3 linked regions of the Macaca mulatta genome follow. The protein of the gene in region 1 binds, or shares a complex with, the protein of each later gene. Links are inferred from orthologs where the notes say so. Each region holds a gene or a part of one and is shown on either strand. Other genes may lie near its edges. The genes, in order: PDZK1, SLC15A2 and AKAP10.

The links.
Region 2: the proteins of PDZK1 (region 1) and SLC15A2 are in contact, whole or in part, in a crystal structure (PDB 6EZI), measured with the Homo sapiens proteins. The link is inferred for Macaca mulatta from reciprocal best matches to the Homo sapiens genes PDZK1 and SLC15A2. Residues at the interface, in NP_001188254.1 of Homo sapiens: Asn386, Gly387, Tyr388, Gly389, Phe390, His391, Leu392, Asn393, Ala394, Ile395, Arg396, Gln407, Tyr436, Glu437, Val440, Ile443, Gln444; in NP_066568.3 of Homo sapiens: Glu723, Thr724, Lys725, Lys726, Thr727, Lys728, Leu729.
Region 3: the proteins of PDZK1 (region 1) and AKAP10 are in contact, whole or in part, in a crystal structure (PDB 3TMH), measured with the Homo sapiens proteins. The link is inferred for Macaca mulatta from reciprocal best matches to the Homo sapiens genes PDZK1 and AKAP10. Residues at the interface, in NP_001188254.1 of Homo sapiens: Asn386, Gly387, Tyr388, Gly389, Phe390, His391, Leu392, Asn393, Ala394, Ile395, Arg396, Phe402, Lys404, Tyr436, Glu437, Val440, Ile443, Gln444; in NP_009133.2 of Homo sapiens: Pro655, Leu656, Glu657, Lys658, Ser659, Thr660, Lys661, Leu662.

Annotation. Positions count from the first base shown.
Region 1 is NC_133406.1:119,615,114-119,625,858, forward strand, and holds part of PDZK1 (Na(+)/H(+) exchange regulatory cofactor NHE-RF3), read left to right. Parts: coding exon 1-16; intron 17-2,359; coding exon 2,360-2,571; intron 2,572-3,342; coding exon 3,343-3,592; intron 3,593-7,464; coding exon 7,465-7,601; intron 7,602-8,660; coding exon 8,661-8,856; intron 8,857-10,745. UniProt on the Homo sapiens protein: A scaffold protein that connects plasma membrane proteins and regulatory components, regulating their surface expression in epithelial cells apical domains.
Region 2 is NC_133407.1:161,850,648-161,861,392, reverse strand, and holds part of SLC15A2 (solute carrier family 15 member 2), read left to right. Parts: intron 1-4,582; coding exon 4,583-4,675; intron 4,676-6,101; coding exon 6,102-6,201; intron 6,202-8,294; coding exon 8,295-8,385; intron 8,386-8,678; coding exon 8,679-8,756; intron 8,757-10,745. UniProt on the Homo sapiens protein: Proton-coupled amino-acid transporter that transports oligopeptides of 2 to 4 amino acids with a preference for dipeptides. Transports neutral and anionic dipeptides with a proton to peptide stoichiometry of 2:1 or 3:1.
Region 3 is NC_133421.1:21,145,029-21,155,773, reverse strand, and holds part of AKAP10 (A-kinase anchor protein 10, mitochondrial), read left to right. Parts: intron 1-6,045; coding exon 6,046-6,130; intron 6,131-6,942; coding exon 6,943-7,066; intron 7,067-8,075; coding exon 8,076-8,212; intron 8,213-10,745. UniProt on the Homo sapiens protein: Differentially targeted protein that binds to type I and II regulatory subunits of protein kinase A and anchors them to the mitochondria or the plasma membrane.

The sequences.
Region 1 (10,745 bases):
CTGGTGTTGACCACTGGTGAGTGTGGCTTCGCTGTTTTCTTGCCTTGATGCTCGATGGGGAGTCTATTTGTTTGTTTCTTTCATGGCTGCTTAGTCACTTGTGCCACTGGCAGCATGGGCTTCCGACTTTGCGGAGACCGCATGAGAGGCCTGGTATTGGGCAGTCGAGGGCTTTCTGTCCGATTTGTACTGTACGTCTCCGTGGGCATGGTCAGGGATGGCTATCTTCAATCACCACGGCCTGGCTTCTAGGGTGCATGGAGTACTTTGTGGCCTATTCTCCACCCTCCCCCATATCCTGTATGGTCATCTGTTCTTGTCCCTCCAGGAGGGAAGGGACAGGTGGTTTATTCTGATTTGTAGGTAGGGAACTGTGACGAGAGGAACTTGAGGGCTTGCCCTGCAGGTGGTGTGAAGAGCGGACTCCAGGGCTCTCTCGCGAGCCTTCTGCCTTCTGTATCAGCCTGTTGCTGTTCTGGCCCCTGTTCTTATTCTCCTATAAAAGAAAAAGCTTTCAGCCAGCAGGTGTCGGCGGCACTGGCAGAAGTCTTTCCCTTAATCATAACTGGGTGTTGGAACCCCAGCTGTGGTTTTACACTTGTCCTGTCTTCCTCCTATGGCTCAGGACCTTGCCCCTGCAATGGGGCAACAGGAGGGGCAGGATGAATAGAAATAGAAGCTGCTTCAGGCCAGGCATGTGGCTCGTGTCTGTAATTCCAGCACTTTGGGAGCCTGAAGCATGACGATCGCTGGAGCCCAGGAGTTTGAGACCAGCCTGGGCAAAAAAGGGAGACACTGTCAAAAAAAAAATTAGTTAGCAGGGCATAGTGGTATGCGCCTGTAGCTCCAGCTATTCAGGAGGCTGAGGTGGGAGGATCGCCTAAGCCCAGGAGTTCGAGGCTGCAGTGAGCGGCGATTGCGCCACTGCACTCCAGCCTGGGTGACAAAGCGTTTGGGAGGGAGAGTCCCGACCTAGCCACAGGAATCCCTTTTCTATGGGGCATCTCTGCTCTGCTCTGGCTAGAGACTTCAGGGGCTGGAACAGTCTTTTCTAGTGCATCTTCAACATATTGGACAACCTCCAAGGCCTGGTGTCTCTGCTTTTTTTTTTTTTTTTTTTTTGAGACGGAGTCTCGCTCTGTAGCCCAGGCTGGAGTGCAGTGGCCGGATCTCAGCTCACTGCAAGCTCTGCCTCCCGGGTTCACGCCATTCTCCGGCCTCAGCCTCCCGAGTAGCTGGGACTACAGGCGCCCGCCACCTCGCCCGGCTAGTTTTTTGTATTTCTTAGTAGAGACGGGGTTTCACCGTGTTATCCAGGATGGTCTCGATCTCCTGACCTCGTGATCCACCCGTCTCGGCCTCCCAAAGTGCTGGGATTACAGGCTTGAGCCACCGCGCCCGGCCTTTTTTTTTTTTTTTTTTTTTTTTTTTTGAGACAGAGTCTCAGTCTGTTGCCCAGGCTGGAGTGCAGTAGCATGATCTTGGCTCACTGCAATCTCCCCCTCCCAGGTTAAAGTGATTCTCCTGCCTCAGCCTCCTGAGTAGCTGGGACTACAGGCGCCCGCCACCATGCCCAGCTAATTTTTGTATTTTTAGTAGAGATGGGGTTTCACCATATTGGCCAGGCTGGTCTCAAACTGCTGACCTTGTGATCTGCCCGCCTTGGCCTCCCAAAGTGCTGGGATTATAGGAGTGAGCTACTGCGCCTGCCTTTTTTAATGGTTTAAGCTCTTCCTTGTCGTGTCCTACCTCACCAAGCTTCTACTAATCCTTCAGTTCTTGGAAGTGTCATTCCTTCAGGAAGGTTTCTTAATTCTTCCCATCCCGCTCCCTATTCCCAAGACCCTTTGTTATTTTCCCCCTTATCACTGCGTTCTTCCCCAGCATGACACTCACCACGTGTGGTTATGGGAATGTAACTATGTTCCCCAATAGGACAGGCAAGGTATGGGTCCGTCTTGTCTACAGATTTAGCCCTGATTCCTTGAACTTGAAAAGCTCTTCAAATGTTTGAATGAGAGTGGGCTTGTCATAAAGTTTTGGGTTTATATATTTGGACTTAATTTCTTTAGGTCAGAGGACAAAGAGGAGTTTGGTTGGAGATACTGAAATGGCAGCATCTGTATCCAGTACCCAGTAAAATATGTGGGTCTGAAACTCTAGTAAAAATGTTGTCCTTGGGGAAACAGATTTGGAAATCATTAGCAAGTTCTGGAAGGTGTCCTCCTGTGCCCCCAGCGTGTACCCAAGCAGTCTAGATTTGATGATTGGAAAATAGAATTATAGGAGATGGAGGATGGGGTTCTCACTCCAATTAGTTTCTCTTTTCCATGGATTTATTAATTTTTTTTCATCACAGAAATGACCTCCACCTTCAACCCCCGAGAATGTAAACTGTCCAAGCAAGAAGGGCAAAACTATGGCTTCTTCCTGCGAATTGAGAAGGACACCGAGGGCCACCTGGTCCGGGTGGTTGAGAAGGGTAGCCCAGCAGAGAAGGCTGGCCTTCAGGATGGAGACCGAGTTCTTAGGATCAATGGTGTCTTTGTGGACAAAGAAGAACATACGCAGGTGAATGAGACATTTGGGGCTCCTCTTCCAGGATCTCTTCAGCCCCAACACCATCTCTGCTGATTATAATTTTGGGGGTCAGTAGAGTTTGGTTCTTTTCTGGCTGCCACTGGCAAGGCAGGACACCTTTATTGCTGTACCTTATGTTGGCCAATCAAGTCCCCTATGAAGAACCAAGAACTGTACACATTACTCTTGGATTTGAATAGCATCAGGTCTAACATGAATTGCATGTTCACTACATACCAAAAATGGTGCTAGGCAATTTTATATTCATTATCTTGTTCAGTCCTCCTCATGACCTTGTGAGGTATATGTTACAATCTCACAGATGAGGAAGCTAAGTACAGATAACTTAGCTTGCTAACATGTTCATGCAGAGGATATATGGGAGAGTCTGGCCTTACCCTATTCTGCCTGACTCCAAAAGCATGCTCTTTTCCTTACACTGTGCTGTCGCCATGCACTCAGGAGGTACGGTTACAATCCAGGGCAGTGCTCCTCTCTAGAAAGGGACAGTCCTTGTAAGAAGCCTCTGGGCTGGGGTTGGACCATGCTCTATATTCCAGCAGTGCCAGAAGCTCAGCCTAATCTGCACCTGGATCTCGGGAAGGCAGGGATGGAGGTGGCTGAGGAACTACCTGCTTCTACTTGGGTGTCAGGGGTCAACTAGCAGGATCTCCAGGGCCAGATATGGAGCCACATGGTCAGCATTTCCCTCTGGCAGTTGATAGAGGGTTATTAAAGTTATTTTTTCTTCTTCCCTCCTAGGTTGTGGATCTGGTCAGAAAGAGTGGGAATTCAGTGACTTTACTAGTTCTGGATGGGGATTCCTATGAGAAAGCAATGAAAACACAGGTGGACTTGAAAGAGTTGGGTCAAAGTCAGAAGGAGCAAGGTTTGAGTGATAATACACTTTCCCCTGTGATGAATGGAGGCGTGCAAACTTGGACCCAGCCCCGGCTCTGCTACCTCGTGAAGCAGGGAGGCAGCTATGGCTTCTCTCTGAAAACTGTCCAAGGTGAGAATTTTTGGGGGGAGTGGGGGGAGGCAGGGGCAGGGCACAGACAACAGGCTTCCAGAACAAAGATGCTATTGGTTAATGACTTTTCTTCTTTGACTTTTCAGTTGCTTTAGATAGCTTGCAACAGCTTTCCTCCCTCCCTCTCTCTCTCCCTCCCTCCCTGCCCTTTCCCTTGCCTTGCACAGTTGTGCAATTGGGGAGGGACACTGGACAGCAGTGGGGGTGGGGGGCACTGGGCACTCCTGTCCCTGAGTGTTTGTCAGGCTGACACTTGAGGACTCTTTGAGGTCAGGGGGTCAGAGCATTGATGCTTCTAGCCCTCTTAGGGTGAAAATGAAGAGGAGAATGAGGAATAAGAGGCAAGAAAAATGAGAGTCTTCATAATAGCTACTTTTGAGTAAGATTGGTATCTTTTTTAAATCTGGGTGCCCAGATAGTCATTCATTTATTCAACAAAATCTTAAGCACCTACTGATGTGCCAGGCACTGTTACCTTTGCTGAGAATACTGCAAAAATCTCCACCCTCCTGTAACATTTTGATAGTATCCTCAGCTGTGGCTCAGCCCCACCTGTTCTGAGGTGCATCTTTGAGCTCTGGCTAAGAGGTACAGAGTGATTTGAGAAACCCTGACCATCAGGAAGCACTAGAAGTTCTGTTTCTAGAATTTCAGAGGTGCAGACTAACCTGTGTTCAGTTGACCATGGCTCTGGGGGTATTGGTTGGAACCAGAGGGGCTGTGTTAGCTGGCCGGTTCCTTCTTGAACGTTGCCTCTGCCCACATTCTTTCTGGGGCTGGAGAAGCACTGGTGGTAGGTCATGATTTGGCAAGTGGTACAGCAGCAGACCAGTTGGTAAATTCACAATAGTTTATAAGGCTTATTTAACCTGTACCAAGAGATGGAAACTCGCGATAAGGGGCATTTCTCAGGTTGGTCAGCTATTAAACACAGTGGTGTGGGTAGTCAAAGGAAGCTTGGCATGTCTTCGAAGCCTATTATCAGTAAAGTGGTAAAAAAAGAGAAAATCATAATTCAGATTCTACTCATCTGGCTCATGTGCTAACGCACATGGTGAACAGTTTAGGTTAGCTTTATGAGGAAAATGGTTTCTTCATGACAAATATATAACAAGGTGGCAGGAGAAATGCTGAATGTTTAAGGAAGCAGAATTTAAGTTACTGTCATTCCTTACAAGTGATTTATGTAGTCATTACCAAGCGATCCCTTGCCTAGGTTGAAATACAGGAGTTCCCCCTTATCCTGTTTTGCTTTCCATAGTTTCAGTTATCTTACCTGCAGGCAACTGTGGTCTGAAAATATTAAATGGAGAATTCCATACATAATAGTTGCATTGTGAACCATTATGAGTAGGGTAATGAAATCTTGTGCTGTCCTGCCCCATCTTGGAGATGAATCCTCTGTTTGTCTAGCACCTCCGTGTGGTATGTGCTTCCTTGCCTGTTAGTCTTACTACTCACTACTCAGTTATCAGGTCAACTGTTGCGGTATTAAAGTACTGTGTTCAAATAATCCTTATTTTGCTTAATAATGGCCCAGCACAGAAAGAAAAATATCACATGTTCTCATAAGTGGGAGCTAAAAAAGGTGAATCTCACGGAGGTAGAGAGTAGAATGAGAGATACCAGAGGCTGGGAAGAGTGTATGTGGGGTAGGGCAGGGATGAAGAAAGCTAGGTTAATGGGTACAAACACAAAGAGAGAATAAGTTCTAACGTTTGATAGCAAAGTGGGGTGACTATAGTTAACAACAATGTATTGCACATTTCAAAATAGTTGTAAGAAGATTGGAAATATTCTCAACACAAAGAAATGATAAATGTTCAAGGATGGATGTCCTAAATATCATACCATTATTTGTTCATTATATGCTCTTGGTATCAAAACATGACACACACCCTACAAATATGTACAAATGTTATGTATCAATAAAAAACAATAGCCCAGGCCGGGCGCGGTGGCTCACGCCTGTAATCCCAGCACTTTGGGAGGCCGAGGTGGGCGGATCACGAGATCAGGAGATGGAGACCATCCTGGCTAACACGGTGAAACCCTGTCTCTACTAAAAACACAAAAAATTAGCTGGGCACGGTGGCGGGCGCCTGTAGTCCCGGTTACTTGGAGGCTGAGGCAGGAGAATGGCGTGAACCCGGGAGGCGGAGCTTGCAGTGAGCCAAGATTGCGCCACTGCTCTCCAGCCTGGGTGACAAAGTGTGACTCTGTCTCCAAAAAAAAAAAAAAAAAAAGCCCAAAATGCAACAGTTGTGATGCTGGCAGTTCAGATATGACAAAGAGAAGCTGTAATGTGGCCAGGCGTAGTGGCTCATGCCTGTAATACTAGCACTTTGAGAGTCTGAGGCGGACAGATCACTTGAGGTTAGGAGTCAGGAGTTCGAGACCAACCTGGCCAACATAGCAAAACCCCATCTCTACTAAAAATACAAAAATTAGCCAGGTGCAGTGGCAGGCACCTGTAGTTCCAGCTACTTGAGAGACCGAGGCAGGACAATCGCTTAACCGGGGAAGCAGAGGTTGCAGTGAGCCAAGATTGTGCCCCTGGACTCCAGACTAGGTGACAGAACGAGACCCCATCTGTTTAAAAAAAAAAAAAAAAAAAAAAAGGCTGTAAAGTGCTCTTCTATTAAGTGAAAAGTTCTCGATTTAATAAGGAAAGAAAAAATATTGTATGCTGAGGTTGCTAAGATTAGCTCAGTTATTGCGAATCTCTTATTGTGCCTAATTTATAAGTTAAACTATCATAGGTACGTAAGCACAGGAAAAAAAACATACAGGTTTCGGAATACTATCTAAAGTTTCAGTCTCCCACTGGGGGTCTTGGAATGAATCCCCCATGGTTAAGGGGGAACTGCTCTATTAATATCTTTGAAGAATTGACAGCATTTCTGTAAGTAGCACCTAAATCTCACCACCTAAATGCGTTCATGTTCTTCCCTCCCTCCTGTGCCTGTCCTTGTTAGCCTACATTGGTGAGATGACTCCATCAGCATACGATGGCTAATATAATAGTACGAAATAAAGAGGAGGGAATGGGAAAGATGCTTTCTGATTCTACAAATGCAAAGAAAGGGCATATAGACACAATAATGCAGTGTGGGTATGGTTTCGCGCTTTCTGGTACAAGGGGCCAAGGCCACCCAAGATTCCATCTTTGCATTTAGCTGACCTCAGAAATTCTATTCAAATCAACAAATACCCACTGAGTAAAGGCTGTGTCAAGTTCTGTGCCAGGAGCTATAACTGTGATTTTAGATCAGAAGCCAAAGGCTGTTTGAGTTAGCTCTGAAATTGGAAGTTCTAGTTTCACATTATTGGGAGAAAAGTCTTTACCACTGGATTTCTGTTTTTTGTTTTTTGTTTTCGTGCAATGGAGTGTTCTATGAAAGGGTGGTGTATGCAAAGCAGTCCTTGAATGCTGAAGGAGCTCAGAAACCAAAGAACAAGGCAGGCAAATCCAGTTTGTAGGTACATTGGAATTTATCAGGGGAACTTATGAACAGAAGCATGGTCTTGGACAGCCACAAAACATGTAGATCTCTGCAGTGTTACTCCCCAGACCCAAGGCTGATATGCCATAGGGAAAGGGTATATATGCTCCAGCAAGGCAATCGAAGGCAGCCGTCTGCAATAGCCAAGAATGCTATATGCATCATGGCCTGTAATTTGTGTGGTAACATTAAGGTTGACATGTTCTTACACTAGGGACAGTAAATGAAGTAGGAATCAGGAGGCATTCACAGGACTGGGGCTAATCAGAAGTCAACATCGCAGATTACCATCCAAGAGGGAGTCACTTTTGTCTCCACATGGAGTTCACCCCTACTCTCTTCCAGGTAAAAAGGGGGTGTACATGACTGATATTACACCTCAAGGTGTGGCTATGAAAGCTGGAGTTCTGGCTGATGATCACTTGATTGAAGTGAATGGAGAGAATGTAGAGGATGCCAGCCACGAGGAAGTGGTTGAAAAGGTATGCCCCAAAGGGTACTTTTCTTGCCCTATCTTCCACTCTATTCTCATTGGAGGTGACAGAAAGACAGGGGTGGTAGGGGACAGCATGAGTTTATGATGGAAAAAATATCCAGCTGAGTTGCCCCTTCATATTAAGGGTGAACAGACTCTCACTAGTGGTATAAGCAGTGTTAATACAGGTTTTGGAATAAAGCCTTCCCTAATTTCACATAAGGTCTACAAAACTATTAACCTTACCTTTTGGATCTTGTTTGTATCGGATTGGGAGCCCCCTCTGAACTGTCTGATTGAGACAGGGTCTCACTGTGTTACCCAGGCTGGAGTGTAGTGGCACCATCTCAGCTCATTGTAGTCTCGGCCTCCTGGGCTCAGATGATTCTTCCACCTCAGCTTCCTGAGTAGCTGGGATTACAGGTGTGTACCACTGCGCCTGGCTAATTTTTGTATTTTTTTTTTTTTTTTTTTGTAGAGACAGAGTCTCACTATGTTGGCCAGGCTGGTCTTGAACTCCTGAGCTCAAGTGATCTGCCCGCCTTGGCCTCCCAAAGTCTGGGATTATGGGCGTGTGTCACTGTGCCCTCTGAATTTACAATAAATTCACTGTTGAGCCGATAATACTGAAATGCTTTAATAGGAAGTGGGATATAACTGAGATTTTCCTTTGAGGTCATATGGAACCTTAAAAATTGACCAACCTTCTCTTCTCTTTGTAGAATGATTTTTTGACGTGGACTCTTACTTTCTTTTCTTTTCCAAACTCCTGTTCTAGCTTTTATCTAGGTACCTTTATGGGTTTTCTGAATTCTAGCTCCTACTTGGGCTCAGTTAGTACCTATGTGGGTGGGTCATATTTAAATAAGGGAAAACAACTCTAGAAGTGGAGATAGATACATATCAGTTAGCTGGCAGGACATAGTGTAACAGCTTAAACTCAGGCCTTCTATCCCCTATCTTTTGTTGAACCTAGAGACTGTGTGCCTTTATACAGAAACGTTCTTATCCCCCAGCATTGTTCTTGGGGGTTGATATTGTTCCTCATCTGTGTGTGTTGTTACAGGTGAAGAAGTCAGGAAGCCGTGTCATGTTCCTGCTGGTGGACAAAGAAACTGACAAGCATCACCTTGAGCAGAAGATACAATTCAAAAGAGAAACGGCTAGTTTCAAACTGTTACCCCACCAGCCCCGAATTGTGGAGATGAAGAAAGGAAGCAATGGTTATGGTTTCTATCTGAGGGCAGGCTCAGAACAGAAAGGTAAGGTACAACAGCAGGAAACTTGGCAGTGTAACCAACAAATTCCTCATCCCAGTCTGACTCCAGAGTTCCATTAGACTCCCAACTTCCAACCAGATGCATGAGGGACACAGCAAGAAACTAGAAGGCACAGCTGGGTCAGAGTCTATGTCACATGAGGCTCTGATATTGGGCATCAAAAGTTTCCATAGCATTATGATAAGGCAGAATTTGGGATCTGGGCAATGGTATCCTGGTAAGCTGGCTCTCTGGCGGGGGGCGGGGGTGGTGGTGGAATACAAATTGGTAGCATTTGTTGGTTTTTGTGATGTAAATACTCCTCCCATGTCCAATTTCAACTTACTAACAAGATGTCACTGAACACAACGAAGTGTTGCACAGAATTGGCTTTTGTGAGCCAGTATAGCACACCGCTGGACCTGAGGCCGAGGTGTGGGTGAGGATCTGGGACTCAGAACCAGGAGTCCTCCTTCTTTGCAACTCAACAGGGAGAACACTAGGTTCTTTCAGGGAAGGTAAATACATAAAAGAACATGAGTTCAGGCCGTATAAACTGTTACTCACCCATAAGTTGTTATTTTCTTTTCACTTTATGTTTACATTAATTTATCAAATATTAATTTGGTTTGTGTTTTGTAAAAACATCCTCAGTGCCTTGGAGAAAGAATATCATATGAATCAGACAGGAATTCTTTAGTCAAGGAGTCTACCATTTAGTAGATAAGAGATAAGGGACTTATGTCCACAATGAAGGGAGATAGAGGTTAAGTACCTTCATACAGGGGCAGATTAAGCGCTGTGATAATTCAAGGTTAGAGTAAGCTTTTCTCACTAAAAAGGTACCAGAAGCCCTCATAGCAGGGGTGGCCCTTGAGTTCAGGCTTTGTAACATGAATAGATTTGGGAAAGTAGGCAGGGCTGGGACAAGGAAGATCATTCCAGGAAGGGGGGAGTCATGTGAACACTGTCAGGAGACATGGGCACAGTTTAGTTGGCACATGATGCGTGGTGCAAGAATTCGTTGGAAGGGTAGGCTGGAGAGAGGTGACAAGGGAACTTCTATGCAAGATTGACGAGTTTGGACTTGGCTCATTAGATGATGGGGAGTTATTTTTTGAGCAGTATAAGGGAGAAGAAAAAAACAGCCTATAATGTCTTGGGGGCTTTGCACGTCTCAATTACTCCTAACAATTATGCAGGAAGAACTGCTGAAATTGAGGGCTTGGAGAAGATACAGTAATTATGTAAGGTCAAATAGTTGTTTAGTTCCAAAGCCCATGCTCATTCTGTTGCACCAGGGAGTGACGTGGTTAAGAATGTGCATCAAGATGGATCTGAAGGCCGATCTATATTGATTGGGGAAGGGAGAGCAGTAGGAAGGTGCTGTCATAGTTTACATAGAATTCTAGGCAGGAACTAACACAAACTGCATTCAGGGTGGAGGAAGTGGGATGTGTAAGATATCAAGGTAGCATGAGAGGACTTAGCAATCATCTAGATATGGGGACTGGATGCTGGGGAAGAATCAGTTGCCAAGTGTTGGTGGCTAGGAGGATGTTGCTCCACTAACAGGTAACCAAGAGGAGGGGCTTTGGGGTGGAGAATGGGCAGAGCTGATTTTTGGTTTGAATACATTACAGTTGAGAGATCTATGAGATATTTTGTTGGAGATACCCAGCAACTAGCTGGAAAAGGGAAACAGGAGCTTGTTTAAAAAAAAAAAAAAAAAAAGAGCTCTGGCAGCATCTGGTAAAGATACCAGAAGGCCAAAGGCACATGGAGGCATGTATATACAAATACATTCAAACTGAATACACCCAATTGCTACTAAAATGCCAGCATGGGTTTCTTAAGGTCCAAAGTTTTAGGTTTTGTTCTTTATTCTTTCC
Region 2 (10,745 bases), on another chromosome or scaffold:
ATCAAATGTAGATTTGGTGTTTTCACATAGTCCTATATTCTTGGAGGCTTTGTTCATTTCTTTTTACTCTTTTTTCTTTAAACTTCTCTTCTTGCTTTATTTCATTCGTTTGATGTTCAATCACTGATACCCTTTCTTCCACTTGTTTGAATTGGCTATTGAAGCTTGTGCATGCATCACATAGTTCTCATGCCATGGTTTTCAGCTCCATCAGGTCATTTAAGGTCTTCTCTACAGTGTTTATTTTAGTTAGCCATTCATCTAATCTTTTCCAAGTTTTTTAGCTTCCTTGTAATGGGTTCAAACATCCTCCTTTATCTTCGAGAAGTTTATTATTACCAACCTTCTGAAGCCTACTTCTGTCAGTTCATCAAAATCATTCTCCATCCAGCTTTGTTCCATTGTTGGCAAGGAGCTGCAATCCTTCAGAGGAGAACAGGTGCTCTGGTTTTTAGAATTTTCAGCTTTTCTGCTCTAGTTTCTCCCCATCTTTGTGGTTTTATCTACCTTTGGTCTTTGATGCTGGTGACCTACAGATGTGGTTTTGGTGTGGATGTACTTTCTGTTGATGTTGATGCTATTTCTTTCTGTTTGTTAGTTTTCCTTCTAACAGTCAGGTCCCTCAGCTGCAGGTCTGTTGGAGTTTGCTGGAGGTCCACTCCAGACCCTGTTTGCCAGGTATCACCAGTGGAGGCTGCAGAACAGCAAATATTGCAGAACAGAAAACATTGCTGCCTGATCCTTCCTCTGTAAGCTTCGTCCCAGAGGGGCACCTGCCTGTATGAGGTGTCAGTCAGTCCCCACTGAGAGATGTCTCCCAGTTAGGCTACATGGGCTTCAGGGACCCACTTGAGGAGGCAGCCTGTCCTTTCTCAGAGCTCAAAAATCATGCTGGGAGAACCACTGCTGTCTTCACAGCTGTCAGACAGGGACGTTTAGGTCTGCAGAAGTTTCTGCTGCCTTTTGTTCCACTATGCCCTGACCCCAGAGGTGGGGTCTATGGAGGCAGCAGGCCTTGCAGAGCTGTGGTGGGCTCCATCCAGTTCAAGCTTCCCTGGCTGCTTTGTTTACCTACTCAAGCCTCAGCAATGGCAGATGCCCCCTCCCCCTGCTAGGCTGCTGCCTTGCGGGTCAACCTCAGACTGCTGCACTAGAAGTGAGCAAGGCTCCGTGAGCATGGGACCCACTGAGCCAGGCGCAGGATATAATCTCCTGGTGTGCCATTTGCTAAGATCATTGGAAAAGCACAGTATTTGGTTGGGAGTGTCCCGATTTTCCAGGTACAGTCTGTCATGGCTTCCCTTGGCTAGAAAAGGGAAATCCCCCAGCCCCTTGTGCTTCCTGGGTGAGGCGATGCCCCACCGTGCTTTGGCTCACTCTCCATGGGCTACACCCACTGTCCAACCAGTCCCAGTTAGGTGAACCACGTACCTTAGTTGGAAATGCAGAAATCACCATCTTCTGCATCGACCATGCTGGGAGCTACAAACCGGAGCTGTTCCTATTTGGCCATCTTGGAGTTATTATGCTTTTGAATGTCTTCTCCACACTTATCTTTTCTCTTTCTCCCAGTGGGTCTGCATAGTATGTCCTTTCTCCTCTTTTTTGTCTGATCTGAACTGACCTTCTTTTCTTCATGCAAGGTCTCTTCCTCTTCCATCACTACACACTCTCAACCTCTGTATATACCTCTTCTCGGTTCCTAAGCTCCTACTAAAAATGGCTGTGGCTTTTTATATTCTTATGGTGAAATAAAATATATTACTTCTTTCTCTTCCATTTCCTTTTTCCACATTAACTTGTTTGTGATAAAAGCAAAGGAATGCTGGGTTATGAGTTAAATATAGAAGCTCTACACCTAACCCTAATACTAATTAAAATGTCACTTTGGGGCCAGGTGTAGTGGCTCATGTCTGTAATCCTAGCACTTTGGGAGGCTGAGTTAGGAGGACTGTTTGAGGCCAGGAGTTTGAGACCAGCCTGGTCAGCATCGCAAGACCTCATCTCTACAATAAAAGAAAGTCACTGTTTATTTATTTTTATTTATTTATTTAATTTATTTATTTTTTTATTTCTTTGAGATGGAGTGTCGTTCTGTCTCCCAAGCTGGAGTGCAGTGGTGTGGGATCTTGGCTCACTGCAACCTCCACCTCCTGGGTTCAAGTGATCTGCCCATCTCAGCCTCCCAAGTAGCTGGGATTATAGGCACGCACCACCATGCCTGGCTAATTTTTGTATTTTTAGTGGAGGTGAGTTTTCACCGTGTTGGCCAGGCTGATCTTGAGCTCTTGACCTCAAGTGATCCATCCACCTCAGCCCCACAAAGTGCTGGGATTATAGGGGTGAGCCACTGCAACTAGCCCAAAAGTCACTGTTTAGAAATGTCATTTGACCTGTCTGGATTTCAGTTTCTTGATTTGTAAAATTGAAGGATTAGTGAAGTCATCCTAAAGCATTTCTGTGTCCTGTGGCTGGGATTACAATGACCCTAATATCTCATTTGAAATGCAGAATTTTCAGGTCTCTTGACTTCTTGCTCCTCCTATTAGTTTCCTGCCGTTAGTTTCCTCTCTGATATCCTTCATATCTAAACTATTTCCTATGAGGGCTTATTTGTTTTTTGTTTTGTTTTGTTTTTTGTTTTGTTTTGTTTTTATCTATAAGGTTGCCTATTTTCCTCCTAAACCACTTATACTTCTGTCATTCATTTAGTCCAAGCTTGTCCAACCTACAGCCTGCAAGCCACATGGAGCCCAGAACAGCTTTGAATGTGGCCCAATACAAATTTGTAAACTTTCTTAAAACATTATGATAATTTTTTTTTTTTTAACTCACCAACTATTGTTAGTGTTGGTGTATTTTATGTGTGGCCCAAGACAATACATCTTCCAATGTGGCCCAGGGAAGCCAAAAGATTGGACACCCCTGATTTAGTCCATCAATTCGATACTGATCTTACTACCCAGACTTTTATCACTTTGGCTCAAACTCCTTTTTTTCCCCTCTATGATGATCTAAGATAGATCATCTGTTTGGGGTTCATGATAGCTAGCATTTTTTTTCTGTTCCTTTTTATTCCCTTTCTTGCTATTTATTCTTCTTATTACAACAAGGAGAACCTTTCTCTAGAAGATGTTACAAGATCTTTTGGGAAAGCTTGTCCCCGCCCCTGATGTTAATTAGTCCTACATTAGTCACCTAACTTCTTTTTTTTTTTTTTTTTTTTTTTTTTGAGATGGAGTCTTGCTCTCTCACCAGCCTGGAGTGCAGTGGCACCATCTCTTGGCTCACTGCAACCTCTGACTTCCTGGTTCAAACAATTCTCCTGCCTCAGCCTCCCGCATAGCTGGGATTATAGGCGCATGTCCCTATGTCCAGCTAATTTTTGTATTTTTGGTAGAGATAGTGTTTCACCATGTTAGTCGGGATGGTCTCGATCTCCTGACCTCGTGATCCACCTACCTTGGCCCCACAAAGTGCTGGGATTACAGGCGTGAGCCACCGTGCCCAGCCTAGTTACCTAACTTCCTGCCCCCTACCCACCAGACCCTTTAAGGTCCCTGCCCTAGAAAGCCGACCCAAGGATTAGGCACTTAGAATGAGAAATCCACATCCTGAGAGTTTTGACATCTCCGGCCTCTCTTTGCTATCTTTATTCCATTCTATTCTCTGCATTCCACATTAGCATATAACATCTTAAAAATTGCAGGTGTAAACTGTATAATTTCCAAGGTTCATTATAATGCTAACATTCTACTTGTATGTAGGAATGCTGGTGTGGTAGTACACATAAGGAATATATGTTGTAGTGTGCCATATTCCAATGTGTGAATCTCTCTATATGTTCTTAGTGGAGTTCCTTATTCTTCTACTTTCTATTTGCTGTTCAAGTTCTTTGAGAAAACAATACAACAGAATGTTCCTTCCAACTGCATGGTTTTCATAACTGGACAGTCTATTCTAAGTCCCTGGCTCCTTTCTTACCCTTGTTAACTTGTCCCTGAAGAAACTGTGGTGAGGATTACAATTAATCCAAGAATCCAAGTTACCCAGGCTGAACCTGAGAGCTTTTTACCTCCCCAGTGCTTCTTTAATTTTGAGGAAGTCGTTGGGTTAGCCATTCCTGTTTACTTGAAGTTCTTCCTTGACCCCTCTTGCTCCCTACAGCAAAAGACATTCCTTGAGAAAAACGCCTAAAGTCCAAATATCCTCTTCTACTGGTTCTCCCATTTTAAAACATTATTACTTTTGCTACAAATCCACCTTGTTCTTGTCATGTCTGTACAAAGTAGGGTTTCTCTGTGTATGTGTGAAGTGAGCAGGTAGAAGGAAAGGGGAAGGTGGGTATAGGAAGGGAACTTGAACACTACAGAGTGAAGAATTCCACTCCTTTTTCCTAGTCTGTTTACTTCACTCACCATTATTGTCTCTATTTGGATTTCTCAGATAATTCTTTCCTCCTCCACTCCTTCCTCCTCCTCCTCCATTTATCCCCACACTGAGAACAGTATGAACCCTAAGTCTGTATTATTCAAGTCTCTCAGTTCTGGTTTTAGACTGACTGATTTAGCTCTCTCAACAGGACAATCATCTATCTCTCCTTGGTGTATGTGCTTGGCCATGTGATCAAGTCCTTGGGTGCCTTACCAATACTGGGAGGACAAGTGGTACACACGTGAGTAAAACCATGGAATCAACTAAACTGCTTTTCTCAAACATTCGTTACAAATGATTTTCTGTTTTCTTACCAGAGATGTCCCTTTATTTCCAATCTATAGTTTTACTACAAAAGAGGTTAAGAAAAACAGTCTTATAACCAGTTGAACTCTTTCCTGCTTTATCTGAGCTCATCTGTTTTTGGGACTTGTAGAATGCCTAGTTAGTATCCTCTTCATATGCTTGAAAATAAACAAAACCTTCACACCCTACATATTCCCTCACCTTTTTATTCATCCATGCAACTATACTTTGCATGGATGAATAAAAAAAGTCTATAAAAAAAAGTCTATAATGTTTCCTTTTAATTAATTGTAGAAGTCATACTCAAAGGGTTAAAAAAAAGTCTATAATGTTTCCTTTTAATTAATTGCAGAAGTCATACTCAAAGCTTCGAATATTTACATTTATGTGTAGTTCCATATATTTCAGTTGCTATTGATGTTTATGGGATCAGAGGCATTTGATAAATTCTGATGTCTGTTTGTTCAGTCAGTAGAGAGGATTACAGCTGTTCACGAAGCAGTTTATATGTATTCATGTTATAATGCGCCTGTGTGCCTGTGTACATGTATTTATCCTATGAGTTAGAAATTTTGTTTGTTTGTTTGTTTTTAGACAGAGTCTTGCTCTGTTGCCCAGGCTGGAGTACAGTGGGGTGATTTTAGCTCACTGAAGTCTCTGCCTCCTGGGTTCAAGTGATTCTCCCACCTCAGCCTCCCGAGTAGCTGGGATTACAGGTGCCCGCCACCACACCTGGCTGATTTTTGTATTTTTAGTAGAGACGGGGTTTTACCATGTTGACCAGGCTGGTCTTGAACTCCTGACCTCAGGTAATCCACCCGCCTTGGCTTCTCAAAGTGCTGGCGTAGCCTCTGCACCTGGCCTTGATATTTAATAAATACTACTTTCTTATTGGTGTCCCGTCAAATATCTTTGACACTGTTGCTATTAGCTATGATGAATTTGAACATTTTATATATTTTTTTTAAATTTTGGTGAGGATATGTGAGATCAGGGTCCTTAAAAGGTCTTTCTGTTGAAGTACTCCTTTGACTAAAACAAGATTGGGAACCAGTGTGTTAACTTTGGAGTTCCTTCAGTATCTGTTTCTATCGGATGCTCGTAAGGGGTAAATGGAACTACCAGGGATGAAATCTTCCCACGTAATGCATACTTTCTTGCAGAAGCCAAAGGATCATAAATATGGTAAGTGCCCATGAATACCTCCTAGGAATAAAGGCAAATGGAAAGTACCCATGGGGTAGAAATGTGAAGGGAATCTTTGCCCTTGTACACATTTTTTCCCCTCTGCAGCTATGTAGTCCATCTCTACAGGTGCATTTAGTATCAACATGGTTGGCATTCTCACCTCTCCATTTCAGAGTCCTATCATTAGTCGGCCTGAGTCTAATAGCTTTGGGGACAGGAGGCATCAAACCCTGTGTGGCAGCTTTTGGTGGAGACCAGTTTGAAGAAAAACATGTAAGAATCCTGTTATTTTGTATTTTCAAGAATATAGAGCCAGCATTAACAGTGGTACCTGGCAGGTAGCCATTTGCCAAGATTGAAGTAATCTACTGATCAGATCTTACCTGAGCAGTTGTATTCAATGCTGGATACTGGTCATTAATAGTGAGGAAAACTGAAACAGTTTCAAAGGAAAGAGACCAGGGTGGTAGATTAACTAAAAGGCATGTCTTATGAGGAAAGGTTGAAGGAAACGGGGATGGTTAGTCTGGATACGAACTAAGGAGAATACTATAGCTGCTTATAGATGCTGGAAGAATGTCAGTGATTAAAGCTGAGACCAATGAGTGAAAGCCTCCAAGAAGCCAGTGTTTTGCCTGATGGGTGGAAAAACTTCAAACAATTGTTAAGTTTACTCTAACTTGAGGTGTTTAGGAAGAGATATGGTAAGCACTTTGGGAATGGGAGGTGATGAGTAGTATAGAGATGATTTAAGCATCTTATTTTGAGATTCCATGAAAGGGGAAAATGACCAATTGCAAGGAAACATAATGAATGTCTATAGATGAATTTCCCTGGCTGATCATTCCCTCTCTTCCTAAATACTTTCCATTACCAGTAGTGAAAAATAAATGGGCCTCTATGAGAAAGCAGTGACAAATAGGCAAGGAAGTAGTCTATTTCTAGATCTTTCAACATTTCTGGCTTCCTCACTTTTGTTTCCAGTTTTCAGTTTTGTCTGTCTTCATGTATCCATTCCGTCTTCTCTGTTTATCTTTTTTCCAGTTTCTCTTTTTCCCCCTCACCACTTCTCTCTCTCTCTCTCTTTCCCCGCCCCCCACTCTCTCTCTCTCTCTTTCCTTTTCCCTCTTCTACCCTGATATAATGCCTATTATCTTTTTCTGCCTCTGCTATGCTGTCCTGTCTTCTAGTGTTTTTCCCACCTTTCAGGCCATTTGGGTTATTTTATACTCTTTATCTGTCCAAGAGTCCATAGATCATAATTGCTTGCTGACTTTGGAGAAAGAACCAACTTTTGGCAAGTGGGACCCTATGTATGATGAACTATACAAATTAGATGAGTGGAATAAGGTTTAAATTGAAACCAGGAGAGGAAACAAAACACACTATAAATAGACAATGGGGAAGGACTTGTTGTTCTAATGTGGCAGGGAGAGATCTGGGGTGTCAGAATGAAGCATGTCAGTGTATAATGAATGAAACATCAGCAACTTTATTTGAAAGTTGTTTCATTTGAGAACTGCTCCACAAAGATATTTCACTTAGTAGGACGAATCCGCCTCCAGGTTTCTACTAGCCACTTCTAAGCCTGCTGATTTCTTTTTAGACTCTCTGGCAGATCTCCCTTAAGCACTAGGTGAACTATCCTGCTTCATTAACAGTTGACTCTACTGTCCTATGTTCTGGTACTATTCCTACCATACACTCCTACCACAAAATCTATTATTTAACTAAATCAGGCATTCACTTAGTTAATACAGTCAATAAACATTTATCGAGTCCCTAATATATGTCAGATGCTGTGCAAGTTACTGGGGATTACAGAAATTAGTAAGATAAAATTTCTGCTCTAAAGAAACTCACAACATACTGACAAAACAGACATTTATGGGAGGCAGAGGCAGGAGAATGGCTTGAGCCCAGGAGGCAGAGTTTGCAGTGAGCTGAGATTGCGCCACTGCACTCCAGCCTGGGCAACAGAGTGAGACTCCATTTCAGAAAAACAAAAACAAAAACAAAACACACACACACACACACACAAATGCAGACATTTAATGCAAAGACATTAATATTCAAATAGCTATATACAGGACACAGTAGTGGCACTGAAGACAGGAAGATTATTTTTAACCTATGCAAAGGGAGGAAAAGAATGTTAAAGCTGCTCTGGAGTTTGAAAGGTGAGTAAATGATTGGGGTCAGCCAGCCATGTTTTTAAATATCTATTAATAATATGAAATTCAGGTATTATGGAAGCAATATCTGAATCTTTCTCTTTGTATGTACCTTCAGCTCTGAATCTGAACATGGAATGGGGCTGGAGCTAGGGGACACATTGCACTGATGATTTATCCTGTTTGTTTCAGGCAGAGGAACGGACTAGATACTTCTCAGTCTTCTACCTGTCCATCAATGCAGGGAGCTTGATTTCTACATTTATCACACCCATGCTGAGAGGTTAGGATTTTTTCTGATGGGAAAAAGCTTTGCTCTGGTCAGCCAAAAAGCTGTTCAAGGCTTTCTCCTGTCCATTGTCTCCTTTTATAAGAGCTTGATAACCTGTGAAAATTTATTTTAGTCTTGATTTGTCTTGCCCAAAGGAAGAATTATGGATTGGGTGATGGGAGGAAAGAGGATGGTTATGTCTATTCTGCAAGCTCAGGTTTATTTGACAACCTGAACTTGTAGAATAAAACATCAAATATTCAAGACTCAGAGTTACTTTCCTCCTCACATCCCATTTTCTTTAGGAGATGTGCAGTGTTTTGGAGAAGACTGCTATGCATTGGCTTTTGGAGTTCCAGGATTGCTCATGGTAATTGCACTTGGTAAGTTCAGTGAAGCAAAGGAAACTAGTAATCATTGATACCTGTCACATGTAAAGCATCATGTAGGCACTTTACACAAGCTGTTTCATTCAATCCTCACACTAGGGCCTATTGGGTAACAGTTATTGTAAGGGTTTCCCCTCAACTTTGGAGGTAGATTCTGAATGAAGTCAGAAACTTTAAGAAAAGTGTCCAAGGTTGCATAGATGCTTTCTGGGGAGCCTTAAAAAAGATCAAACTCTGGGCCAGTCAGGGACTTGGGCATTTCTTAGTAACTCAGGTCATTCTAATGTATACTCAAGGTGGAGATCCACTGCTCTACACTATAATATATAGGGAAGCAAGGAAGATAACCCTCTTTCAAACTAGTTTACTTCATATGATACTTATTTATCTGGTAATTGGAAAAGATTTTAAATTCTCTAAGCCTTTTAAAACAGCTTCTAGGTTTAGCTATTTCTGCCCTGCTCTGTAGTGCCCCCCTGGAGTGCCCCCAAAGAGTCTGCCCTTGAGTAAAGAGAATAAGAGGAGGTGAATAAGTAGGTGAAAATTAATGCAACTTAAATCAAGTGGCGTTCTTTTTATCCCTGAGAACCCAGTCCTGGAAGAGAAGAGGGATATGGTGTTCCTTATTTTACACAGCCTGAGGGAAAACTTGGGCATGATTATTTCTAATCATTGACCTGGAAACCTGTTCTCACTCTGAGCCTCAGCGTGACACCCCCCTGGAAGATATCCAGTGCAAACCCATAAAGAGCTCAACAGAGGAAAAACAGCCCAGAGACTCAATGTTCAGTGTATTATCTAACAGGGAGTGGATGGGAGGGTGGTGATAGTAGTACTCAGAATTCCCAATGCCAAGGAAATTTATTATAGGTGAGCTGTGATAATATATTCCCTACTTCCTTCTTCATTCAAAGCCAAATATTTTCCCGAATATTTGCATGATAATATTTACATAATAGAGTAATTATGAAGATAAAAAAGAGACGATATAAATGAAATGTTTTATAAATTATGAAATGTTAAGTGCTAGCTGTCATTGTTAGTCAGCAGCTTCAGTTTTCTGGGTACTAATCGATAACTCAATTCTCTGATCTTTTACTATAATTAATTTCTTTTTTCTTTTTTTTTTTTTTTTCTTTTTTGAGACAGAGTCTCACTCTGTCACCCAGGCTGGAGTGCAGTGGCATGATCTTGGCTCACTGCAAGCTCTGCCTCCTGGCATTCTCCTGCCTCAGCCTTCCAAGTAGCTGGGACTATAGGCACCCGCCACCATGCCTGGCTAATTTTTTGTGTTTTTAGTAGAGACGGAGTTTCACCGTGTTAGCCAGGATGGTCTCGATCTCCTGACCTTGTGATCCACCTGCCTCGACCTCCCAAAGTGCTAGGATTATAGGCATGAGCCACCGCGCCCAGCCAATTAATTTATTTTTTCATTCAATCATTTATTTAACCAACATTTAATGAACCTGTTGTGTGCCATATTATGTGCTAGGTATTGGGATCACACTGGTGAATTGGATACCTGGAGAGTTCATGTTCCCAAAGAGCTATATAGTTCAGTAGAGAGAGGAAGGCAAACAAGTAAAAGGAATTTACAATATAGTATGATCAGTATTTCCCAGATCAATATAGTATGATCTAGGAAAGTACAGAGAGAGCTATGGGAACTACATAAAAGGAATGTTTAATTAAGACCTTGAGGGACCAGGCACAGTGGCTCACACCTGTGGGAGGCCGAGGCAGGAGGATTGCGTGAGCTCAGGAGTTTGAGACTATCCTGGACAACATAGCATGACTCCATCTATACAAACATTTAAAAATTAGTGGAATATGATGGCACACACCTATGATCCCAACTATTTGGGAGCTGAGATGGGAGGATCGCTTGAGCCTGGAAGGTCAAGGCTGCAGTGAGCCATGATTGTGCCACTGAACTTCAGCCTGGGCAACAGAACAAGCCCCATCTCATAAATAAATAAATGA
Region 3 (10,745 bases), on another chromosome or scaffold:
CCCGTGACTTGCCATTTTTTGCCAGTTGATTGTGCCACACACAATGTCATTTCTGTGTCATTTGGCACAGCTGGAGGTGCAAGGAGGAGGGCAGCCTCATGTCCAGTCCCAGTTTCAAGTAACTTTATTCTTCTGAATAAAGACAATTTGCTAACTTTACAAAAAACAAAAAAAAAAGTTTTTCTTGTATGTTGGACCCAAATTCTTAGACTTTGACCTAAATAACAATGACAGCAAGAACAATAAATAGTACACATTTATTGAACACTCACTGTATCCCAGACAATATTCCAAGCACTTTCTGTGGATAAACTCTTTAACTTCTAAAGAACTTTGTGGGATAAATACAGTTATTTTATAGATGAAGAAACTGAAGCACAGAGAAGTTAAGTACTTTGTCCAAGGTAACAGCTCAGACATGGCGGAGTCAGGGTTTGAAACTAGACCCTCACATACCTTAACTGCTGTGCTGTGGCAGTGTTTTTCTTTTTTTTTTTTTTTTTTTTTTGAGACGGAGTCTCGCTCTGCCGCCCAGGCTGGAGTGCAGTGGCCGGATCTCAGCTCACTGCAAGCTCCGCCTCCCGGGTTCACGCCATTCTCCTGCCTCAGCCTCCCGAGTAGTTGGGACTACAGGCGCCCGCCACCTCGCCCGGCTAGTTTTTTGTATTTTTTAGTAGAGACGGGGTTTCACCGTGTTAGCCAGGATGGTCTCGATCTCCTGACCTCGTGATCCGCCCGTCTCGGCCTCCCAAAGTGCTGGGATTACAGGCTTGAGCCACCGCGCCCGGCCGGCAGTGTTTTTCATACTGTAGGTTGGGACCGACCTTCTCCTATGCCCTCACCCCCTACCAAAATAAACATATATATATATGTTAGTGTATATAGATATGTTAGTGTATATATATGTTAGTATATATATATGTTAGTGTGTATATATGTGTATATACACACTAGAATAAAAAAATCAAAGTGTCTCAGAGTAGTAAGGACAAACATCATTTCAGAAAAATGTTTTCATTATATATACATGTATGTATGTGTATGCTGATTCAACAAATATATTTCTGTATAAGTTATAGCAAAATAGTTTGAAAGCTTTTACTGTGTTTTATCAGGAAGACCTTAGGTGAACATATATTCACAGATAAAAGAGGTTTATTTATTCGTTCAATAAATATTACATTCTCATAAGTCCTAATATTATGTATTTTTATTTTTCAAAAAAGTTAGTATTTGTGATTTATGTAATAAAACTTGTTCTTGCACTTCTAGCAGGTCTGTCCCAATGTGGGGCTTCTTTAATCTTACTGTGGGTACTTTGCACTCACTCACTACTGGAGACAGCAAGACCCCTGTTAGTCTCAGCTGTGTTTCTTAAATTGGCCCACTGTACTTTCCAGTTAGCTATTGTGGGGTCCATCTCATGTTGCCTCCATTTTCCTTTTCTTTCTCCCAGACAGATACCTATAACAGCTGTAACATAGGCCTGGTGGCTGTTGGTGGCTTATCCCTATCTGCTTGTATTTAAGGGGTGGTGTTTCACTGAGTTTTGCTGACAGATGTTGTCATGAGATTTGAGTTTTTCTGTGTTGTTGCTCTGTTTTTATGTGAGAATTTGCTGCTACCATTGTCGCTAGACCAGCTTTTCCTAGTAATACAACAGGGATGTTCTGACTGATTAGAGTTTGCCTGTTTGAAGAATTGGTTGGCTAGTGACTTTTTTGAGGGGAGTCTGTACCAGTTAATAGCCTCACTGGTGTGAGGATGAAAAGGAAAGAGTTTCAAGTCAAATAAAACACTTAAAAATGAAACCACACTGCGACTCTCTTTCTTTTACTTAAGCTTAATCAGATTAATGATGATGTAATCCCATGAAGGAAAAGTCTGCTTAAGGATCAAGTTGGTAACATTTTGTGATCAAGGGATTTGAGAAAACCTCTATCCCAGTGTCTATCATTATATATTTTAGGATGTTAATTACCTGTATGGCTTTAGGCAAGTCATTTTTCCTCCTTGAGCCTCATTCTTAATCCTGTCCAAATTATTTGTCTCCTCTTGCTGCAGTTGTACTATTTGAATATAGCTGTCCTTCAAGTGAGTTTTATTCAAAGGAGCCTTCACTTCAGCACTTACTGTGTATCCAACTTGCATAGTCTTTTTTAAAATGTTATCCTTGGGTTTTTGGCTTTGCTTTCTAATTACTGTTTTTATGTGAGGATTTAGAGTGATCCAGAAGCTATACTTCCACTACCTCCTTCATCTTCCACAAATCTTTAAAGTGGTAGAATTTTAAAAAACTTTGAAGGTACAGCTGACAGAATTTGCTAATGGTTTGGAAGTGAGTAGTATGAGAGGGAAAAAAAGGAATAAAGCATGACTGCATTTTTTTTGTTTGTTTAAGCGATTCCCCTGCCTCAGCCTCCCAAGTAGCTGGGACTACAGGCTCTTGCCACCACCCCCAGCTAATTTTTTTTTTTTTTTTGTATTTTAGTAGAAACGGAGTTTCACCGTGTTGGCCAGGATGGTCTCCATCTCCTGACCTCGTAATCCACCCACCTTGGCCTCCCAAAGTGCTGAGGTTACAGGCATGAGCCACCCCACCTGACTGCATGACTCCATTTTTTAAAAAACTGAATACCTGGAATTGTAGGGTTGTCATTTATAAGATGAAAAGACTGTAGGAGTAATGGCTTATGAGGAAAATCAGGAGTTTGGTTTTAGACATCCAAATGGTGAATGTCAAGTAGGTAATTGGACACCTACATTAGGATTTTATGGCAGTGGCCCGGGTTGGAGACACGTGTTTGGAAGTCATTAGCATATAGATGGATTTAGAGCTGCAATACTAGATAACATTACCATGGGAGTAAGTGTAATGAGGGAAGATGAGGTCTAAGGACTGAGCCCTGGCATTCTGTCAGATGGAGAAGAACTAGCAAAGGACACTTAGGCCCTCTTATGACAATGGTATATCAAGAAGTAGTTTTCTTCAGGAAGCCAAGTAAGAAAAATGTTTCTGGGAGGAAATGAAGCTGAGATAAGTAAGACGAATACTGGAATTGAATGGATTTGACAACCCATCGTACACTAGTTATCTTGATTACAGTGGGCCATTTTAGACGAAACTTAATTGGAGGAGTCTTAAGAGAGAATAGGAGGAGTGGAACCAGCGAGTATTGACAACTGTTATGTGGCATGTTCCTCTAAAGTTGAGCTGGAAGGTGATGTTAATCAAGTGTGCATTGGGGGCAGTGGTGCACACCTGTAATTTCAGCACTTTGGCAGGCCAGGGAGGTTGAATCACTTGAGCCCAGGAGTTTGAGACTAGCCTGGGCAACATAGTGAAACCCCATCTCTACCAAAAAAATAATAATACTACAAAAATTTTTCAGGCATGGTGGTGCATACCTGTAGTCTCAGCTATTAGGAAGGCTGAGGTGGCAGGATCACTTGAGCCCCAGGAGGTCATGGCTGCAGTGAGCCAAGATCATGCCACTGCACTTCAGCCTGGGTGACAGAGCCAGACCCTGTCTCAAAAAAAAAGGCGGGGAGGGGGGCAATGGTTTTTAATTTTGTTTTTAAGGTAAGATGTATTATAAGCATGTAAGGTGTGTTACAGCATACGAACAGGTATACATGTATAACATGCAGTCCACACAGCTGATAGGAATGAGGCAGTAGTGAAGGAGAAGTTGATGTAGGAGAGGGGACAGTTGTTACAGGAAAGAAGTCTGGAGGCAAAAGGGATGAATTCTAGTGCTCACATAAAATATTACTTAGATGGGAGCAAGACAGTTTATCTGGAGTCACAGGAAAGAATGCAGTACATGGGTAGAGATGCAGGTGAGTTGAAAGATGTGAGAGATGATGGAAATAATTTTCTGATTGCTTCTATATTCTCACTGAAGCAGGAAGCAAAGTTCTCAGCAAAGAGAACAGGAGAAAGAGGTGTTGAATATTTGAGAAAGGAGATGTACTGTAGAAAAACAAAACAAAACAAAACTCCTGAACTCTCACAAAACAGAACCTTTCCATGACCCTACTTGTGTGGGGGTTTTCCCCGTCAACTATCAATTCTGCAGATGATTCTCCAGTGACCCCTCCAACTGGGTGTCCTCTAAGTCAGTTCAGTTCTCACACGATCTACCTGGAGATAGCATCAGATCCCACAGATTGAGGACTCTGTCCCACAAGACTGCCCCCACTTCAGATGCCAGTCTGAAGCCCAAGTTGTGGCCTGTGCTTCTGACCGGCCTTCTATAAATTGGAGTTCCCACAGTCCCCTCCTTGGGTTCAATAAATTTGCTAGAGCAGCTGTCAGAACTCAGGGAAATGCTTCACTTATATTTACCCGTTTATTATAAAGGATATTACAAAGGATACAGATTGAACAGGCAGATGGAAGAGATGCATGGGCAAGGTATGGGAGAGGGGGCACAGCTTCCATGCCCTCTCCAGGTCATACCACCCTCCAAGAACCTCTACAGATTTAGCTATTCAGAAGCCCCCCTCCCCATTCTGTCCTTTTGGTTTTTTTGTGGAAACTTCATTATATAGGCATAATTGATCGTTGGCTATTGGTGATCAGCTCAACCTTCAGTCCCCTCCTTCTGGGAGGTTGGTGGGTAGGGCTGAAAGTCCCAACCCTGTAATTCTGCCTTGGTCTTTCTGGTGATTAGCCCTCATCCTAAAGCTCTTTAGAGGCCACCTGCCATTAGTCATCTCATTAGCATTCAAAAGAATCCAGAGATTTCATGAATTTTAGGAGCTGTATGCTAAGAAACTGGCTAAAAAGGCCAGTTGCAATGGCTCAGGCCTGTAATCCCAGCACTTTGGGAGGCTGAGGTAGGGGGATCATTTGAGGCCATGAGATCAAAACCAGCCTGGTCAACATAGTGAGACCCCCTTACAAAATACTTAAAAATTGGCCAGGCGTGGTAGCTCTTGTCTGTAGTCCCAGCTACTCAGAAGGCTGAGGATCACTGAGCCCGGGAGTTCAAGGCAGCAGTGAGCCATGATCGTGCCACTGACTCCAGCTTGTCTCAGAAGAAAAGGGGGAGAAAAAAAAAACTGGGCAAAGAGTAAATAACATATTTCACAATATCACAGATTTGTATTGTCTAGGAAAGTGAATGTGAACAGACCATGACACTAGTATGATCCCTGGGTTTCATGAAGGTCCCACTAAAGTCATGAACACAAAGTGAGACTAGGCATCATGTTATATGGTTTTTCCAGCCATGTTTAACAGTTAGCCAAACAGCTTATTGTTTTGCTGCAGTTTATTTAGGCAGTTCCTTATTTTAGCACATTTCATGTTTTAAAATTTCTACCAATAACATTTTGATAAACTTTTTTACAGATGACTTCACAAATACATAATTTTTTAAGCTACAATCCTAGAAATAGAATTGCTCATTGAAAGGGTATGTTCGTTTTTAAAGCTATGCTAGAAACTGCCAAATTGCCTTCAGAAAAAGGTGTTTATATCCCCACTAACACTAGTGTCAGTTTTCCTGTGCCCTTGCTCAAGTATGCATATTATTAAAAACAATGTTGTACCAGTTTACTAGACAAAAGGTGCAGTGCCTCCTTATTCTGATCTGATTACTAGTGAGTATGTGTATCTTTTCACGTTGATCATTTTATGTTTGTTCCTTTGTGGGTTGTCGTGTCCTTTGCTCATTTTTCTTTTGGGACATTTCTTAGTAGTTTATAAGAGCTCTTGGTATTTTAATGATAGTAATCTTTTAACTGTCATGCATGCTGCAAATCTTTTTTCTGTTTGTTTGCCTTTGTATTTTGTTTTTGGAGTGTTTCAATGTCTAGGAAATAATTTTATGTTGTTAAATCTTTTGATCTCTGCTTTTGCATATGTACTTCAAAAGACTTTCTACATCAAGGTCAAGTGTTACCTGTATTTTCTATTAGTTCTATTTAAAACCTCTTAATTTACATGCCTATGCTGTTAACTCCCAAGTTGATTCACAAGTGTGTATAGTTTGAATTTAGTGGCAATTTAATTATTTACGACTTCTTTTACAGCAAAGATTTGTGGAGAAGATGGACAGGTGGATCCCAACTGTTTCGTTTTGGCACAGTCCATAGTCTTTAGTGCAATGGAGCAAGAGTAAGTTAGTTCATATTTTCACATTGTGCATCCTAGGGAATTTGGGTTCATTGTTAGGAATGGGCTTCACTTAGCTAAAAACGAAGTATTTTTGAGGATTTAAATATTTTGGATATTTACAGGAACATATAAGGCATACTCTATCTTGATTAATAGTTTCTTTTAAATATAAATTATGTGAACTCTTAAAATTTTAATTTTCATTTTCAATGTTAGTATTTCCTAAGTTAAAATAATTTGTTTTCAGTTATGAAATCATTTGGGGAGTGATTGAGGCCGTAGTGATTATGACTGTTAGAATTGGTTTATTTATTGAAATAATGCCTGTCTTCAGATGGCTCTCCTAATTTGTTAGGCTTTAAGCTAAATCGATGCTATATAACTAAATCCACATAGATTTGTTGAAATGGCTCCAGAGGTTTTTTAGATTTATTACTGCTGTGTGCCCTTAAAAAAAAATCTATTCATTCTTTCACTTAACATTTATCAAAAGAGTGCTCTGTGTAAGACATGGTTAGGCATAGTACCAGTCTTGAAGGAAGTTACAACCTAATAAAAGACATAGGGCATGTTCTTTGGTTACTGTAATATGAAGTGGCATGTGTTAAATGTCAGGGGAGAACTACAAAGTCATAAAAAGGTGGGAGAGATTACATACAGGTAAAGGAATCAGGAATGACACCGTGGGGAGTGAGATAGTGTTGACCTAGGCCTTTAAGATACAATGGGGACAGTATGGAAAGAGTATATTTTTCCCACTTAAACTCTTTCCTTGGTCGTTCCCTCAAATTTTCCCTTTTGTCCATGTGCAGGCACTTTAGTGAGTTTCTGCGAAGTCACCATTTCTGTAAATACCAGATTGAAGTGCTGACCAGTGGAACTGTTTACCTGGCTGACATTCTCTTCTGTGAGTCAGCCCTCTTTTATTTCTCTGAGGTAAAGTCTGCATTTCCTTTCACACTCTGTTCGAGCATTCCAGCCTCTAACTATCAATGCTGGGGCCCTGTCTATAGGAAATAACCCAGAAGAGCCAAGTCATTTCCAAAAAGATTTATCGTTGTTTCAAGTTGTTTCTGATAGCAAGAGTAATTTAATAACATATTAGAGAGAACATGAAAACTCAATGTGTTAAATAACTCTAATTTTGAAAAACCTGATTAAGCTACTGCATGCCAGAGAGTGCATGTTTTTAATTGTTTGGAGCTATTTTAAAACCACAGAATTTGAAACTTCCAGGGCATAAATTGCAGACCAGACTTCAGAAGAGAAAAAGAAAAGTAGTAAATTTTTTCTTATGCTCATCATGTTTACTTTAGCCAGTTGATAGGATTGCCCAGTGAAGAAGCATTTGCAACAGACAATGAGTGTATTAATCTTTTTGAGGCATACAGTTTAGTATAATGCTCTTTGTTAGGCTTCAACAAGTGAAATTATTTTGTCAGAAAGCAGAAAGAGGATTCCTGGTCTCACAAAGCAGTAATTTAGACACTTGATTCTGCCTCTTTGCAAGAATACAGGTACTCAGTTGATCTGTTTTTCCACTGCCTTTCTTTGCTATAAGTTTAAACCAACAATTTGTTTAGGCTAATATGTCCTCATGGAATGGTGGAAATGATCAGATACAAAATATTTGGTTAGTTTACTCTTTATATGTTTGCTGGTAAGGAACCACAAATCCAATTTAGTATAATTTTTACTCTAGTTCACTAAAAGTTTGCATCCAGTTGTGTAGTGTTTGTTTCTTGTTAATTTTTTTTTTCCTCTAAATACTTTAAAACTTTTTAATCTCAAATGACTGTAACTTGCTGACAGGTGTTAACTGAAGAAGTCGATCTTTTTGTTTTTTGCTTATGACCTGTATTTTAATATTTGAGCTTATAGATTAGAGATGGTGAGAGAAATCTGTTTATAGTCTTATTTTCCCTTGTGTATTATTTCTTCCTAGTACATGGAAAAAGAGGATGCAGTGAATATCTTACAATTCTGGTTGGCAGCAGATAACTTCCAGTCTCAGCTTGCTGCCAAAAAGGGCCAATACGATGGACAGGAGGCACAGAATGATGCCATGATTTTATATGACAAGTGAGTTATATTGATAGATGCATTCAGCAGATACTTATTGAGCATGTGATATGTTTTGTGGAAATAAAGATGCAAAAACTCAGTCTCTGTTGTCAAGGAGTTCACAGGAGGCAGCATAAAAGCTACTTTTTGTATGGTGTTTGTAAAGCTTTGGGGGTTCTTAGAACAAAAGTTTCTGCTGGGAAAGGGGAGGTGTGTGTGGGGCAAACAGGATGGCAGTGGTAGTGTTCAAGCAGTGTTTCCCAGAAGAGAGATTTTGTTTGGATCCTAAAGAATGAATTGAATTTTGCTACCCAGAGAAGGCAGGAAACAACATTCTAGGCAAAGGCATTGGCACAGAAGCCATGGAGACTTGGCGGAAGGTGGCACTTTCAAGAAACTTGAGTTGAGATAATCAAAGGGTTGGGGAATACATGTGAGGATGCTGGTACTAATTGGAATAGATTGTAAGGGACCTTGAATGCCTCTTTATGGGTATAGTATACTTTCTGTATAAATCTGCCTTGCCACGTTATTAAATGAATTAGTTTTTTTATTAGTTTTCACTGAAAATGAGAGGATAGAAAAATCATACAGTGAACAAAATTGAAAATATCTGATCAGGCAAGTGATGAGCTTGTGGCCAGCTCTGTAACGTATGGTATTCTTTTCATTTAACTTTTCTTACTCTGTAAAAAAAATAATTTGTGGTTGGGCACGGTGGCTCACACCTGTAATCCCAACACTTTGAGAGGCAGAAGCGGATGAATTGCTTGAGCCCAGGAATTTGAGACCAGCCTGGGCAACATGGCAAAACCCCGCCTTTACTAAAAATACAAAAATTAGCTGAGCGTGGTGGCGTGCGCCTTTTGTCCTAGCTACTTAGGAGCCTGAGGCAGGAGCATCACCTGAGCCTTGGGAGGTCAACGCTGCAGTGAGCTGTGATCCACTGTACTCCACCCTGTGCAGGGCAGCAGAGTGAGACCCTTTCTCAAAAAAAAAAAAAAAAAAAGTTATTTGTTATTTGTATCCTTAAGCAAATGGTAAAGGGGTAACTTGGGGATAGAGAAAAGTCCATAAATGTTAGGGTTTGAAGACAGCCAATAGCATCTAGGCCAATGGTTCTTGAACACTGGTCTGCAGGCTCTTGCTGGGCTGTCTGCATAGGAATCACCTGAGAGCTCGTTAAAAATAGGTTTTCAGGCCGGGTGTGGTGACTCCTGCCTGTAATACCAGCACTTTGGGAGGCCGAAGCGGGCAGATTACCTGAGGACAGGCATTCAAGACCAGCCTGGCCAACATGGTAAAAGCCCATCTCTACTAAAAACACAAGAATTAGCCAGGCATGGTGGCACACACCTGTAATCCCAGGTACTCGGGAGGCTGAGGCAGGAGAATTGCTTGAGCCCGGGAGGCGGAGGTTGCAGTGAGCCGAGATCATGCCACTGCACTCCAGCCTAGCTGACAGAGCGAGACTCTGTCTCAGAAAAAAAAAAAAAAATTTAAGTTTTCAATCTGGGCATGGTGGCTCACACCTGTAATCGCAGCATTTTGGAAGGCCAAGGCAGGCAGATCACTTGAGGTCAGGAGTTCAAGACCCACCTGGCCAACATAGTGAAACCTGTCTCTACTGAAAACTACCAAAATTAGCTGGGCATTTTGACGGGTGCCTGTAATCCCAGCTACTAGGGAGGCTGAGGCAGGAGAATTGCTTGAATCCAGGAGGCAGAGGTTGCAATGAGCTGACATCGTGCCACTGCACTGGAGCCTGGGTGACAGAGGGAGACTCCATCTCAAAAAAAAAAAAAAGTTTCCAGTCCCCCACCCACCCAGTCTCAGAAATTCTGATTCCACAGGTTTGAGGTGTGACCAGGAATCTTTATTTTTAGAAAACATACCAGATAATTCTGATAAATAGCCAGATTAGGGATGTAGTCTGATTTTCCTATTTTGCAAGTAAGGAAAATAAGGCCCAGAGAGGTAATGATTTTCTCAGAGTCACAGAACAAGTTAGTGGCAGCACTTGGACTGGAATGCAGTTCTTAATGTTCTGTCCAGTGTTTATTTTGATAAATATGTTTGGCCGGGCGCGGTGGCTCAAGCCTGTAATCCCAGCACTTTGGGAGGCCGAGACGGGTGGATCACGAGGTCAGGAGATCGAGACCATCCTGGCTAACACAGTGAAACCCCGTCTCTACTAAAAAATACAAAAAAACTAGCCGGGCGAGGTGGCGGGCGCCTGTAGTCCCAGCTACTCAGGAGGCTGAGGCAGGAGAATGGCCTGAACCCGGGAGGCGGAGCTTGCAGTGAGCTGAGATCCGGCCACTGCACTCCAGCAAGGGGGACAGAGTGAGACTCCGTCTCAAAAAAAAAAAAAAAAGATAAATATGTTTGTAGACGATACTAGATAAGAAACATTGCTATATAGATATTGAGATAAGAAGGGTTTACATTTAGAAATTTGGTGTAAAATGCCTGAACATTCAAGTCGTGGAGGAGTATTGACCAACTTATTCAGTACAACATAGGAGATTCACATTTTGTTACAAAAATG